Caenorhabditis elegans: one gene and its partner. The protein of the gene in region 1 interacts with the protein of each later gene in a pairwise test. Each region holds a gene or a part of one and is shown on either strand. Other genes may lie near its edges.

Region 1 (7,414 bases):
TCTTCTGGTGTGGAACAAGCTTCAGGAGTTGCTCGGCTACTCTGCATCCATTGAGACTTCGAACACTTTCCTCGTCGAGATTCTTCAAAAGTGAATCATCGAGAATATTTAGATCCTCTGGAACAGATTTCAATGCGAGTCTTGCAAACAGGATATCGATGTCCACTCCAGAGTACTTCAGTGTCATGATTGGGACAAATGCCTTTTCGACTGCACATAACTCTGTGACTTCTGGATTCTTCGCAAGAATATCCTTGAATGAATTGAAGAAATCGGATCGGGTGATATGCCTCGGTGCAACTACAATACTGTCGATATCCGCTCCACTGCTGTGTACTCCAAGTCGATAAGATCCAAATGGAATTAGCTTTCCACCAGCATTGAACATTTGATCCTTTGGAATCCTTGAAATGGTAGTCTTCTGGACCCAATCCTTCACCAATCCATCAAGATTTTTTAAAACTTTGATTCTTAGAAGAGTTTCTTGTTTTGACTCGAAACTTTTGAATTCCTCGAGAGAAGATTGCAGAGAGCTCGTCAACGCAACGTCATTGGCCTTTGGGAAAGCTGTGGAGATCGGTTGAGAAACTCCGAAGATTGGCGTGGAAGAGGTTGCATTATTCACAGATTGCATTTTACAAGAGTTGGAGATAGATCGTTAGTGAGAGTATCTAAAAATATAAAAGGTTAGTAAGGAAGAGGGCATTAAATGATTTTCAAGAGTAATAAACGAGCCGGTAATTAATGGAAAATTATGACCAAAACGAAGCTTAAAGTTATAATGATTAAATGTTGAGGATTAATTATCGAAATTGGGCTTTTTTTCAGTGCACTCAAAACAGTCCAGCATAATTCATTATAATAATTAAAAATTTTAAAAAAAGTTGCCATTTTTCAATTTGAAAAACAGTTGTCACTTTATAATTGTAATTTAAAAAGGTTCAACCAATTTTTGAAGTTTTACTTTTTTTTTGGACCATAGTGACTTTAAACAATTTTCTAATAGGCGATAATTCGATTTTAATAGACTTTGACAACGAAACTCTAGAAAAAATAACAACTAAAAAAAACAAATAATCTGTATAACCAGACGACCATCCGGTAAAAGGCTAGGAGGCACAAATGACACAGAGAGCACATCTCATCTATATAGATCTTCAGTCTTGTGTTTGTAACGCAGCGTTTTTGATGTCAATCGATTATTATATTTTCTCATGGCAAAAAAGTGTGAGCTCTATATTATTGGCCTGTATCCGGATGGATATCCAACAACTCGTTTTTTAAAAAATTATTTGACAGGTATCAGAATTTGGAACAGTAAAAGAAAACTGAGTTTTGAAAAAAAAACGTTCGAATTATGTTGAGTGAGGAAATTATCATAACATATACCAGCACAAATGAGTTTCTAACTAAAGTGAAAGCTATTTTTAAATTTCATAGGTAAAAATAGTGACAAAAAATACTTGATTCAAATAAGTAACAAGAAATGTATAAAAGGGTAAGTTAGATAGTCGAATTACAAAAGGATTTTTTGGAACAAAAACTGTGTTTTGAAAATCGACACTGAAAATTAAAACCTCTCGGAATAAAAAAGACCTAAACTAATCCATTCGGAAAGGGTATGCTAAAGGTTTTAAATTTTATTAACATAATTTTAGAAACGCAACACGTTAACCAACAATATTTAATTTCAAAACTATAGAAAAACTAACAACAAATTGTTTAAAAAATAGTGACAGAGCAGCAAAAGAAATCCGACAATCCGGTAGAAGGCTAGGAGACACAAATGACATGGATGGCACACAACTCATCACATCTTCAGTCTACGAACGCAGCGTTTTTGTTATCAATCGATTATTTTCTGATGGCAAAAAAGTGAACTTTATATATATATTTTTTTGTTTTCAAATACATTGATTTTCGATACTTTATTTAGAAGAGAAAATGACAAAAAGAAATCAATAAGCTTTTTCAGACTTCTCCATTTTTTCCACACTTCCCTCCTTTGAATTCTTATTCCTCATCTTCTTTTGCCGTCTTGATTCTTTCTTCTTGGCTTCAGCTTCATCTTTATGAGACTCCAAGTCTGTCTTCGGATTTTCCTCTTCTTGCTCTTTCTTCGCAATTTTCAGATTCTTTACAAGAGGTTCGTTGTTATCAGCCTTGACTTCCTTTTTCACATCTTTCTCCACTTTTTCGTCCGGTTCCTTGTCCTAAGAATCGAAATTTAAAAAAAAACAATTTTCCAAACTCTTACCTCCTCCTTTTTCTTCGATTTCAATTTCTTCTCACTCAAAACCTTTATCGGCGACTTTTTCTTTTCAGGCGAAACTGGCTTCTTACATTCTTCCACAGATTTCTCAGCAGACGGTAGTTTTTGATTCTTCGAGTGGGATTCATCAATCGACATTTGTGATGGTGCTGCAGGTTTCGGTTGTGTGTTCTGGACATTTTGAACCTGAATTGCCACAAATATTCAAGCTACAAAATTTCATTTTCAATGTTAAACTAACTTTTGAAGTCTCTGAAAACGATGCTGGTGGTGGCTTCGGATCCTTTTTATTTTTGGCACAGAGCATCACGGAAATCGATGTGAACAGTAGGATTACTGTAGCGGAAAGTGTTCGCCATAAGCATTCGCTTAATAATTCGATTTCTAATCGAACCATTCGATCGAAAATTATAAAATGTTATATGGAAATGATTCATTTTTGTGTTGAAGTTACTTATTGATAATTGATAAAGATCTGTTAATTTTTTAAAAATTTTTCGTAGAGCTCACGGTTTGAATTTTAAATATATTATTTCAAGAAATAATTCAAAAAATATCTGAACGTGAACTTTTCTTTATTTTATTTTCAACAATTCATCAACGCCGCCTGTGCCGCCCGTATTCTATTTATTTCTATTTATTCTCCCTGAAAAGTCACCATTTTCGAACATGTCAGGAGTTGCAAAAAGGAAAATAAGAATCAAAAAACTCACTGAAGAAATCGCAAAGTTCGTTACCAAAAACATCACCGTCTAACAAGAAGCAGGCGTCAGCTAAGAAAGTTTCGGTAAGTTGAAAACATTTAAATGATTTTGAAAGTTTACCCATATCTCTTTAAATGCAGCTGAAAAGAAAGAATAGCGTTTTCATCGATCCAAGAATTCAAGAAGTTGCTGGTCCTTGTGAACCAAGTGATAATGGCAATAATGAAGAAGAAGATAAGATTATCAGTATCCGTGCAACTGCATCCAGTGCCAGCATTACCAAAGAGTCTGTACCAGAAGCCCCACCAACTCACTTTATTCCTGTCGTAGTGACGGTTGAGCCAGATGCCTGGGAGAAGTTTCGAGACATTATTCAAGTCAACAGGAACATAGTTATCGTGAAAGTTGGGAGGTGGTTGATGTCTAGTTTCATGCCAGGAGATCAGATATCACTTGTTAATGGAACTGCCATTTGGAATTCTGATGATCTTGAAAACCAAGTTCGCGGTCCGAAGAAGGAAACAAAAACTGAAGTTACAGTAATCCGTGTGTGGAATTTGAAATGCCTTACTGACATTCAGTTGGATAAGCTTCTTGTTCCACCAGAAGAGCAACTTCATTACTTTTCTGTAAAAGTTTACTCATCAAAAGGAACTATTGGATTGAAGTTGTGTTTGGACAAGAAACGAGTGCTCGTGGAACTTGTAAGCATTTCAATATATACCTTTTCGATTTAATTTTTAATTTTCTAGATTCGTGCCAAGACCCCAGTCAATTCAGCTCTACTCGTTGGAGATCAAATCTTGGGGATAAATGACGAGCTTCTGACTGCAAAAAGCAAGAGAGCTTTGAGAAAGCAAGTAGCAGAAGTAATGAAGAAGAGCATCAAGAAACAAGGATTCGCAGAGTATTTTCTAGATTTTTTTTGAAAATCGGAAATCTGAATAATTTTAGAATCATTGCTTGCCGTCAAGTCATCGCTCGAAGCTCCCCAGCACCAAGTTTGGAGGCGGAACTGTCCGAGAAGTTTGCGAACTATGCAGTTGGAGTAGAGAAAGGAACAAGAATTGAGAAGAAAGGTTTTTGAAAATGGTTTTCTTCTGAGAACTTTATAATTTCAGACTCCAGTGAAACAAACAGTCTTCCATTGCATTCCGATGCTTTGGAGATTGCATTGCGGGAGTTGGCATGCTTGAAGCAATGGATTGTAGAAAGTTCCACTGAAGTTGTAAGCTTAAATAGTGAATACGTTTTCTAAAAATACAATTATTATTTCCAGCCACCGTGCGACAAGGGGCCTACTCTCATGATCGATCCACCAACTGCGCCTGGCTCTGCCGAAGGATGCCCACCTCCATTAGTGAAGGCCAAATCCACAACAAATGCAATCGAGCGATCGGTTTACTTCCCGTTAAGCACAACTGCTGCTGTTGCGATTCTTGTAAGCACTCCAAAGAAGCGAAGCATTTTTAGACAACAGGACAGGAATTCGGCTATCAATTTTGCGGTAGGTTAAGTTTTTCAAAAATTGTGAATAAAAATATTAATTTACAGGAGCAGCCCGACCACGAAAAGATCACATCGGATATTCCTGAAGAGGATGACCTGAAGAAATGCGAGCCTATGTCTGGAATTGCTGCATACATTAAGAAAAAGTTCAATTAGGCAGAGATATGTGTGAATAAATCGTTTTTACATGTTTCTGTGTTTTCTAGAACTTGACAGTTATTATCCACTATTTATTAATTTATTTCGTATTCCAAATAACAATCCGCTCACATAGCATTATTACTCGAATTAAAATTAAACGTAGAAATATCGATTAAAATATTTCCTTCGGACTCCTCTTGGAATCCATTGAAGCACTTGCAGTTATACTGATGAAGCTCGCTCCTCAATAAGTTATCCAAATGTTTGATATAACGGATTGCAAGCCGGAGAGTGTCAACTTTTGAGATTCGCTTTTCACTGGAAAATATTATTGTCAACTGTATCTATAGGAAGATAATTATTGATTAAATGTTTTGATAGGTACGTGTCACTAGCCAAATTTTGGTAGCAAAATCTTGGAAATACTTGGCATTATAATAGTAGCCTTTTGCATGAGTTGCTGCCAGATAGCTGTCACGGGGATTCCCGAGTTTCCTTCGGGATTTAATAGCATTTCAAGGTAAATTTGAGGTAAACTTTACTCTAAATGAATTTTCTCATCTACAACTTCCCTACAATTTCCAGAAGCATTTTTTTAATTTTTTAGAAAATCATTGAAACTTACTCAAAATGAACTGGAAGATGTTTTCTCAGTCTCTCATAACCATCATTCACATTTCTCACTCGACATCGCTCACGTTCGTTTCGTTTCCAAACTGATGAGCTGAAAATTAAAATTTTCAAACTTTAATAAAAGCATGATCTTACCTATATGGTCCGTATTGATCTTCAAGTTCAACAGGCAGGGGTACTGTAGCTTCAGGTGCAAATGGGTTCACATATTTCTTAAAGGCGTTTGAGCTAGTGTCCAATGACGCTTTAGAAGAAGGTTTTGGCTGACTTTGAGTGGGAAGTTGAGGTTGAACTTGGCTTTGAATTTGAATTTGTGGTTGATTGTGAATAGGTATTTGAGATATTTGTGGTTGAAGTTGAGATTGAATTTGAGTCGGGATTGGTGCAAGTTGGAGTGGGGTGGAAGTTGGAATGTGGAATTGCTGATCGATTAGTGGTACTGTAATATATTCAAAAAATGATATAAGTACATACATAATACATTTATTGGAGTTAGTTTCCATTTGGATAATTTTTAGATTTTTAGAGATATAAGCTGTCACCTTTGAATAATCGGGTGCAATATAAAACATTCACTCACCCATTAGTTTTTGTACATCGGTTTGAACATTTTCCAGTAGAAGATTTGTATTTGGAATTGAAGTTTGAATATGATTTTGAATATGATGTTGAATCGGATTTGGAATCGGGGTTTGAATAGTATTCTGGTTGATAATAGTCGAGTAGACCCCATTCTCAAATGTATAAGTTACAGGGAACATGGTCAAAAAGTTGTTTTGGGAAATTGACATTTTTTGAACTATTCTAAGCAGGTTATCTATAACTGACTATCCACAGGGACAACCTAAACAGTAAAATGTGGGCGGGGCCTACAGTAAATATAAGCTGTGCAAACAATCGGGGAGCCAACCCGAAAAAGGCGATCCATGCATGATATTTATTTGTTAGCCACCGAAATGTGGTTTTGCACAATGAGCACATCATTTGTCGGCTTCCGACATTATTTATTGAGGGCAATTGGGAAACATCGATATTGGAAAAAAAAACCCGCAAAAACAGAATTTCCGAAATGAATTTTGTATTATATTTACAGTGTCATTTTCTAGGTATATTTCTTGAGTAAATACTGAAGCAGATGTTTGGTATGCGAGCTATATGATAATCAATCATTTTTTGTTTTGATTGAATATGGTAATTTCCCATAATTAACACCTGCACATCATCAGAATATACGAAAAGATTGCAATTTTTCATCATTGTAGGTGATTTCAGTGGGAAAAACTAGTTTTCATATAAAATTTCGAAAGGTCCTGGCACGACTAACCCTTTATTACCTCTCCTACCCGAAAATACGGTACCTGGTCTCGGAACGGCACATTTTTGTTAGATGCGAGTAGATGTGCGCCTTTAAAGAGTAATACAGTTTTCCTCGTGATTTGACAAAATGTATATATTTTTTGTTGTTACATTTGAATTGTAAAAATATAAATAAATATTTTTTTTTAATTGTAAAAAAACTTAAAAATCGATGAAAGCTTGAAAGCTGCGCTGAAACGAAAGTTTTAAATTACAGTACTCTTTAAAGGAGCACACCTCTCGCATTCAACAAAAAAATGTGTGTCGAGACCGTGTACCGTATTTTTGGCATAAAACTTCGCGCCTGGCCAATATGTATATTATTTCTCAATGCGAATTGTCTTAACTTTAAAAAAATACTTTTCAGAATTTTTTAAGTGTCTGCTTTCTTCAAATTTGTCGATGCTGAGAATCAAAATTTTAAAATTACTGAATACTTTATAAATAGGAACTTTCGATGAAAATAAAAATAAGATCAGTCAGTTACAGGAACCCATTGATCCTGTTCCTTTTCTGAAAACTTATAAAATACTGACACACAACGCTATAATTTATATGGCACATTAAAAACACGATACTAAAAACTTAAAGTAGATCACAGGGCAAAACGAAAAAAAAAAAAATTTTATTTTTGTGCCTGACGAATTCGATCCCTGAGCCGTGTAAGTTGTTCCAATGAGAAGTCTTTGAACAAATCTTCCAACTGTTCAACTCGAACCCTTTCCTTTTCTTCCATCATTTTCATTGTCGCGTCGTGAAGCTTTCGTTGCCGATTTCGTTCGGCAATCAGCTCTTTTTG
Region 2 (8,337 bases), on another chromosome or scaffold:
AAATTATTGCACATCGCATGTTTTCAACTTTCAACAATGAGAAATTACCAGGTTTTACAAAACTACGAAAAAATATATATATAAAAGGCAAATTAAAATTCCCCGATTCAAATGTTAAGTTTAAGTCCCCAACTTCGAGGAATCTTTGTTTTTTCTTTCAAAAATTATCAGAAGAAATTAAAGAATACAAGAACAACTAGTAAATAGTTCCAAGAAGAAAAAGATTTTATTCAATATTTGCCTCTGTTGTAACTATTAACAAGAATAAGGAGATGTCAATTGCAGGAATATCAATCTCAGATATTAAAAGAAAACATAATCTTCAAAATAAATTAAGAAATGACGAGAAATAGAAAGGAAGATGGGTAGCCATCAAATTCAGAAGCTTTATTTCTTAGCCGTAACTTCTAAGAGTTTGAATACGTATTATTGTATCATGTAAAACTTTATTTGCTGATTTTGGCAGTAATGTAGTAAATTATAGGCAATTTTTGAAATTGGTTAGCTTCACTCAACATATTGTAAAATTTAAAAGTAATTTACTTGTTGATAATTTATTCACTATTAACAGAAAAATATTGCATTTTAACGGTCGCTTAAATTTAGTTTGAAGGTTGATAATCTAAATATTGTGACGCCTGTATAAATGGTCAAACAATTGATATTATTGAGGTATTGTGGCTTCTTCAGCCATTTTCAACCGTTTTAATATTTTTAAAAAAGTTTACCACAATACCAATATCAACTGTTTGATCCCTTATACAGGTGTACCTTCTGCTCCTTTGTTTTTGAAAAATGACCAAAATGCACACTTTGTCTATTGGAAAGATCAAATGAGCAATTATGAGATTATTTTATCCACCGAGAGAAATAGATGTCTCGTGGTTAAAAAAGATGTAGAAGCATTATTCTCGTTTGCCTAATTTAAAATTTGATAAATTTTTTAAAGAAATTCGAAATTCATTTTGAGTTATATGTTTTTGAGCAATATGTGTTCATAATTTTCAGACAAAGTTTTGTGAACAGCCAATTTCCTAAAACGTTAAACTTTTTGAATAATTTCAAGCATCGCTGCCAAGTACAATGTTTAAAAACAAATAATTGATCCAAATAAAAATATAAAGAAGAACAAATAAATTACGTTCAAGACTACAATATGTGAAGTGAAAGTTTTTACAATGATTTTTGCTAATTTTAGCACTGGTTTTTTTTAAACTTCCTTACTGATATTGCAATATTCATTTTTCGATGCCAAATGGTCCATTCAAACGAATCAACTTTCTACAGTAACCCACTAGACCCATTCAAATGTATCAAACTCTCAAGACAATACCGATGGTTTCGCCGAAAAAAGTTCAAAAGCGAGACCGGAAGTAGCTAATCGTATCAAGTACAATAGATCCAATGCTCCTTCAGAAAAGAGTGAGAATAATTATGTATTCACAAGAGGGAGCATGCATCCCGACAGTATTGTCTCCATGTCTCAAGAGCTAATTACCATTTGTAACAGGTATGAGAGGAGGATGTGTTAAACAAGAGAAGATACTACAGGTCAACCGGAAAATCAATTTTTCTTTCTTTGTTTGAATTTTCTTAGAAAATATGATCAGGTGTAGGGATGGCAACACCCGACAAAAAGAATTGAAACGTTTTCATTAGCAGAAACAGTGCAAAAACTGAAATTTATTAGCCTTTCTGATTTTTCAGATTTTCAAATAGTTTCTGATCAAATAAAATTAGGATATTTTTGATTGAATGAGCAAATACACAACTTTTCTATAATTTTCTAAAACGTTGAAAATTCCTAACAAAGTTCAAAGATAACTTATTTTTATTTAACCGCAAACTGCAATTTTTGAACTGCTCAGTCGGCAAAACCTCACATAATATTACAAAAAAGAAACCCCGAAAATGTATACTTTGGCCACACATATTTCTGAAAATTTGTGAAATTGAGAAGTTGAAAAATCAAATCTCCATAAAAACCCCTTCGGTAAGTGTTCATAAAACAATTATTTTGTCAAAAATTTTCCAGCAACTTATACAATAGTAGATAATTATGAAAATTGAGAAATCACGTGATATCCAACTCTCTTAGTCTCAATGCAGCAACAAATAAAAATTCTCATCAACCACCGTAACCAACTATTTTTATTATCTCAAATCCCAAGTTCCCATACCATTAAAACTCGAGACTGTGCACATAATTGGATTGGATACTTGTGAAAAACTGAGTTGTATCTTACACATTCCACTCTTTCTGTTTTGGACAAAAAAATAGTGGGAAATTTATGTTTGAATAGAATTCGATAAATACATGTGTGTGGATTTTTTCGAAATTGGAAAATATTTAGTTTGATATTTTGTAATCATTTTCACAATTTTTTAACACGTTAAAAAACAAAAAAAAAGAATATTAAAAACCAAAACCAAATGAAGAAAAATCTGTACGAATAGAAAAGTTGCATAACACCCAAGAATAATAATAATTGGCTAAAGATGGAGAATTTAATAGTTGCGTGACGGCGGAACAAAACTAGATGACCATTTAGACGGTTACTCAATATATTTAATTGCACTTTTTATGAAGATGCTATGGTTTTTCAATGTTTTTTCTCTTTTTGAACTGTCTCGTATTGCAAGTTATGGCTAACGGAATCGAAAGTTTGAAAGAAAAAGGAAAATGGAAGATTCTTGATGTTTGCTAATATATCGTATTCTCTAAGGATTCCAACAAGAAATGCATCACGTTCACAGTTTGGAAATACAAGTTCTACCGTATTCTACCATAATTTCATTTCTCAAGCATTTTTTTTCCAAATTTCAATGTATAAAAAAGACACAACGCAAGACTTGCATCAACACCCAGGTGGTCTCTAACTGCCCTTTTTTTCACTTTTTTACCTCGAGAATTTTGGGAAAAAAAGTTGAAGGAGTGTCAAGACACATCTTTGGTTATGTAACTATTGCGTAATCGAGACTTTAGGCAGCATTCACGTAATTTGGAAATTTAGAATTAAATTCAATATGTAGAAATAAACGTTTGAAAGCTAGCAAATTATAGAGGGAAATAATATTTTTAGAGTTTAGATTTCTGTGAGAATTCTTGACAAATTTTTAGCACCTACGATCGTGATGAGAAATCAAATCAATAAAAATTGGAACTTGCGAGAACATAGCGAGACCTTAATTCACCAATTTTGAACAAATGTCTCGATTTAAAACTTGAAAAACGGAGTATTGAATAGATGAGCACCTACCTCTCATCTCCTCAACCGGGAGGCGTGATGTGGCTAGTGTTTGCGAACAACGGAAAAGAAATAAGATTGAAGAAGGTAGAATAGAAGAAGAAGTCAAGTGAGAGCAGGTAAAACAGTTCAGTGCACATATTTATGGAAAATGATGGAATGGAGAAACGGAATTTTAAAAAAATTTGAAATGATGACTGGCTTGTTGCAAGTGTTTTTCGAAGAATACCGTATTTCCTCTATTAGTAATTTATTTATTCAACCAACTTTTCCTTTTATTTTCTTCCATATCCTGACAGAAAATGCTTAGGTATGATGTTATGAATATGGAAATTTTATTTTTGAAAAGATTATATTCAATTTGATAGTTCCAGTAAACAATTAAACGTTTCGAATTCCAACTTTTTATTGATCTTTGCAGTTTCTCTGAAATTGGCTTTGTTATTTTATTTTTCAAACTTTGGCCCAGTATTCCTGTAAACTAAGAACCCAGTTTGCAAGTACGTCAGTCTAAAAGATGATTTAGTATTTCGAATGTAGTTGTGCCACGAATCAGTAAAATCATCATTTAAATGTGATAGCGAAAACGGAATTGAACTCGCAAATCAGCGATAAATTATTTGATAAGGAAAAGTGTATAAGTGGGTGCTTATCAACTGAAAACTCTTGCTTTATTTCACTTTTTCTTTTTATTCTAGAAAGTGGAAACATGAAGACTCTTTTGGCAGTGCTACTGGCAGGTAAATTTAATTTTAAACATCGTTTTAGAATTTCTGTAGCTACTTTCTCTTTGAGGAGCTTAAAAGTGAAGTTGCCCAGATTCAATGCCAGTTCCGTAAATTTCATGAGTCGTTTTTTTCTAAAATTCGTGACCATTAGGCTATATGGCCAGAACATATTTTTATTACTCAAAATCTAAAAAAACAAATTATGAAGTCTCACATATTTTTCTGGAAATAAGGAATCTGGAAACTGTTTTCGACGGGAATATACTCTATCTAGACCTAGATCTAGTCTAGCCAATGTTCTCAAATGTTGTATTGTTGAATCTTTCAAAAGAATTTTCTACTAATCTTTACAACGAAATACACAAAATTTATAATTCGTGGATTCATTTTTATCGAGACGAGCAACTGTCTAAAAACTAAGGTTTCAAAACTGATAACATTATTTACCATCGAATTAATAAATTTTAAGTTCAGTTCTATGTTTACCATAGTTTCTGTAGTTTCACACTGAATAACTTAACATTTCAGCATGTGTGCTGACCCAGGTATTGTCTGCTCCAAGCAATGAGCAGCGTGTTCGTCGTAACATGATCCGTGGACGTCCACGTGGAGGAATGAAGAAGACTCCACCAGTAAGTGTTCAAACATCCAATGTACAGAACAAAAAAAGTCTATTCCAGATGTCTTCCGTTTCTCATATGATCAACTTTGACAATGTAGTCTCATCTACTTTCACTCAAACTCTTGATCATTTTGATTCTTCCGTCGGAAAGACTTTCCAGCAGAGATATTATCATAACAACCAATGGTACAAGGCTGGAGGACCAGCTTTCTTGATGCTTGGAGGAGAAGGACCAGAGTCTAGTTATTGGGTTTCTTATCGTTAGTTTACTTTTTTATCATACAAGACATTTTATTTTTAAAGCTGGACTTGAAATCACCAACTTGGCTGCCAAACAAGGAGCCTGGGTCTTTGATATTGAGCACAGATTCTATGGAGAGACTCACCCAACCAGGTATTTCTTTTTACGAAATAACTCCCTATTATTAATGTTTTCCAGCGACATGTCCGTACCAAACCTGAAATACTTGTCTTCTGCCCAAGCTATTGAGGATGCCGCCGCTTTCATTAAGGCAATGACCGCCAAGTTCCCACAATTGGCCAATGCCAAGTGGGTCACTTTCGGAGGATCCTACTCTGGAGCTTTGGCCGCATGGACTCGTGCAAAGCATCCAGAATTGGTGTATGCTGCTGTTGGATCCAGTGGTCCAGTTCAAGCCGAGGTTGACTTCAAAGGTTAAAAAGATACGCAGCAATTTACTTCCAATTACTTTCTATTTCAGAGTATCTTGAGGTTGTACAAAACTCAATTACCCGTAACTCAACTGAGTGTGCCGCCAGTGTGACCCAAGGATTCAACTTGGTTGCTTCTCTTCTTCAAACTTCCGATGGACGCAAACAATTGAAAACTGCTTTCCAGTGAGTTTATTATGATGTATGCTTACTAGTTAGCCAAAGCCAAAAACCTCGAGTGAACCTTCTGTATTCCCCCCATTCCTGCGCGTTTCAAACTGAATTAACCGCTCTAACTTTTTTGAAACTTTTCTCTGGAAGTTCCAGTCTCTACATAGTTCCTTTGTCAGCTATTCTAGTCACAAATGTTTTGAGAAGTGCGTATAACTTGGCGTGTTCATTCAATGCGTCAAATTGAAATATATATTGTAAAATAAGCAACAATTTTTCAGTCTCTGCCAAGACATTCAAATGGACGATAAATCACTCAAGTATTTCTGGGAAACAGTATATTCTCCATACATGGAGGTTGTTCAATATTCTGGTGATGCCGCTGGATCGTTTGCCACTCAACTCACAATTTCTCATGCCATTTGCCGTTATCACATTAACACTAAATCAACACCACTTCAGAAATTGAAACAAGTCAATGACTATTTTAACCAAGTCAGTGGATATTTCGGATGCAATGATATTGATTACAATGGTTTCATTTCTTTCATGAAAGATGAAACATTCGGAGAGGCTCAATCTGACAGAGCATGGGTTTGGCAGACTTGCACTGAGTTCGGATATTATCAATCAACTTCATCAGCTACTGCTGGACCATGGTTCGGAGGTGTAAGCAATCTTCCAGCTCAATATTATATTGATGAATGTACTGCTATCTATGGAGCTGCATACAATAGTCAAGAAGTTCAGACATCTGTAGATTACACTAATCAATATTATGGAGGAAGAGATAATTTGAACACTGACAGAATTCTTCTACCAAATGGAGATATTGATCCATGGCATGCACTTGGAAAATTGACAAGCTCGAACAGCAATATTGTGCCAGTTGTGATCAATGGTAATCTTGAACTTTATGTACAAAAATAGTATAATTACATTAATTCCAGGAACCGCCCATTGTGCTGACATGTACGGAGCATCCAGCTTGGATAGTATGTACTTGACAAACGCCCGCCAAAGAATCTCGGATGTTCTTGATGGATGGCTTCATGCTAATTAATTGTTATGGATTTTATGTTATAGAAATGAAAATTTGACTCTAATATTTCATATCAACGATATTACAAAAATAATAACAATAATCTAAATGTTATAAATAACAAAAGGAAAACATTATCGTCTCGGTGGCAGCAAAATCTTCTGTTTCTCCTCATCAATCTCGTCTAAGATCCGATCATCGCCAGCCCAAATTGCTTCCAAATCGTACTTCTCACGGCATTCTTCACTCATTACGTGCACCTGAAGTATAGGCATTAAAAAATATAATATGTAGGAAGTAATACCTGAACTCTTTCCACCTCACTGACATACCATCCATTGCTTCGTTTTGTGCTCCTTCGTGCATGTGACATGGATCCATTCGACACTCCGTCAATTTTTAGAAGAGATCGAAGATTTTCAGAAATTGCTGAAGCTTGTCGCGAATTGAATGCTGAGCAAATTATCTGAAAATATGAGATTAATTTTCTCCTTACTGAATTACGAGGATTAATTACCTTATGTGTATACGGTGTCATTTCTGTTTCTTCTGATTTTACAACAAATACATCTTTTGCTCTTTGATCAGTCAAAGCTCCGACCACATTCTCTACAAAATCAGCGTCTTCTGACAAATTCTGGCTTCTGAATCCTGTCCGTTTTGGAGGTTCTTGACTTGTTTCGTGACTGGAAATGATTCCAGTTGGCTCTAATTCTTCGAAATATTCCTCTTCGATATGCGAATTTTGAGCAAGATATCGTAACTGTAGAATTGGACGAAGTCGTGTGAATCGTGTAAGCATTCTGAAACGACATATTCTTGACAAAAGCATCTCGAGAAATTAGAAAAATAATAAATTTGAGTTGGTTTTGACACATATTTAGAAAAAAACAATTGAATTTCGCTTTGATAATTTTTTATTCAAAAAAGGCATAAAAAGATCAGAGTAAGAAACAACAGAGTAGCTTGAGATAAAAAATCAACAATAACAACAAAAATGTGATAAATTCAACAAAAATTAATCGGATCCAGTGTACTTTGATGCTTGGCTCTTCTTCTTGCGAACACGACGTTTCTCAATTTGAGCAGTGATCTGAGCAGCAGCCTCTGAGTCAGCAGCGGCATTGTTTTGTGTATCGAATTCCTGGAAAGGAAGATAAATTAAAAACTCGTTCAAATCGATTGTGGTACTTGGAAATAATTGTATAATAATTTTATAGTAAATATTATGACTGTATTTTGTCAAATTTGATTTTAATTTCATGTTTTTTATTTTCAAAATCGTACCTTTCCAACCAAATCAACAGTCTTTTCAGCGAGAATTTCTGTGACTTTAGCTTGTTTGATATTTGATGCTTTCACAGCCAACTGTTTCTCGATATACGAATGTTGTCCTTTACGGTGTTCACGGCGGATCACATTTGGAGAGACGTAGTTTGGGTTGTCGTACAGTACGGCTCCTTCGAATGAGCCAGCGAACAAACGAACCATTTCCAAAACGAAGCGTGGTCCTGAAGAAAAATGTTGTGCATGTAAATAAAAAGTATTCAAACTATATACTCACCAACTTCCTGAAGTTGAAGACTCTCATCAACAATTTGAAAATTGCGGAACCAGATTTTATCACCTTCTCCAACAGAAAAATTAAAGACGTGATCCACAAATGGCTGACTGCGTGGATGATGATGTGGTGTTCCAAGAGTCTGAAATTATTTTGTGAAAATTATAATTTTTTCTAACAAAATATTTATTCAAATTCAATTTTTACAAAATTACCTGCATAAGCACGGCCTTGATAAGCTTCAATTGTGGTTTCTTATCAAAAGCATCGTCAAATGAAAGGACTGGTCTTGA

The links.
Region 2: the proteins of T15H9.4 (region 1) and K12H4.7 interact in a two-hybrid assay, tested with the Caenorhabditis elegans proteins (one large-scale study listed by BioGRID).

What each region holds. Positions count from the first base shown.
Region 1 is NC_003280.10:9,608,763-9,616,176, forward strand, and holds T15H9.4 (uncharacterized protein), read left to right. Parts: upstream 1-3,110; coding exon 3,111-3,680; intron 3,681-3,728; coding exon 3,729-3,883; intron 3,884-3,930; coding exon 3,931-4,055; intron 4,056-4,097; coding exon 4,098-4,204; intron 4,205-4,255; coding exon 4,256-4,483; intron 4,484-4,530; coding exon 4,531-4,641; 3' UTR 4,642-4,646; downstream 4,647-7,414. Other genes in the region: pap-2 (Poly(A) polymerase), read right to left, coding at 1-634; T15H9.5 (uncharacterized protein), read right to left, coding at 1,959-2,213, 2,258-2,458, 2,514-2,579; hlh-6 (Helix-loop-helix protein 6), read right to left, coding at 4,752-4,944, 5,252-5,350, 5,395-5,698, 5,840-6,050; hal-3 (uncharacterized protein), read right to left, coding at 7,241-7,414.
Region 2 is NC_003281.10:8,046,661-8,054,997, reverse strand, and holds K12H4.7 (Putative serine protease K12H4.7), read left to right. Parts: upstream 1-3,916; 5' UTR 3,917-3,957; coding exon 3,958-3,988; intron 3,989-4,504; coding exon 4,505-4,608; intron 4,609-4,656; coding exon 4,657-4,858; intron 4,859-4,901; coding exon 4,902-4,992; intron 4,993-5,037; coding exon 5,038-5,273; intron 5,274-5,320; coding exon 5,321-5,456; intron 5,457-5,722; coding exon 5,723-6,342; intron 6,343-6,391; coding exon 6,392-6,504; 3' UTR 6,505-6,548; downstream 6,549-8,337. Other genes in the region: mals-1 (Mitochondrial Assembly of ribosomal Large Subunit), read right to left, coding at 6,618-6,743, 6,788-6,949, 7,001-7,285; K12H4.3 (Ribosome biogenesis protein BRX1 homolog), read right to left, coding at 7,502-7,627, 7,771-7,994, 8,048-8,186, 8,260-8,337.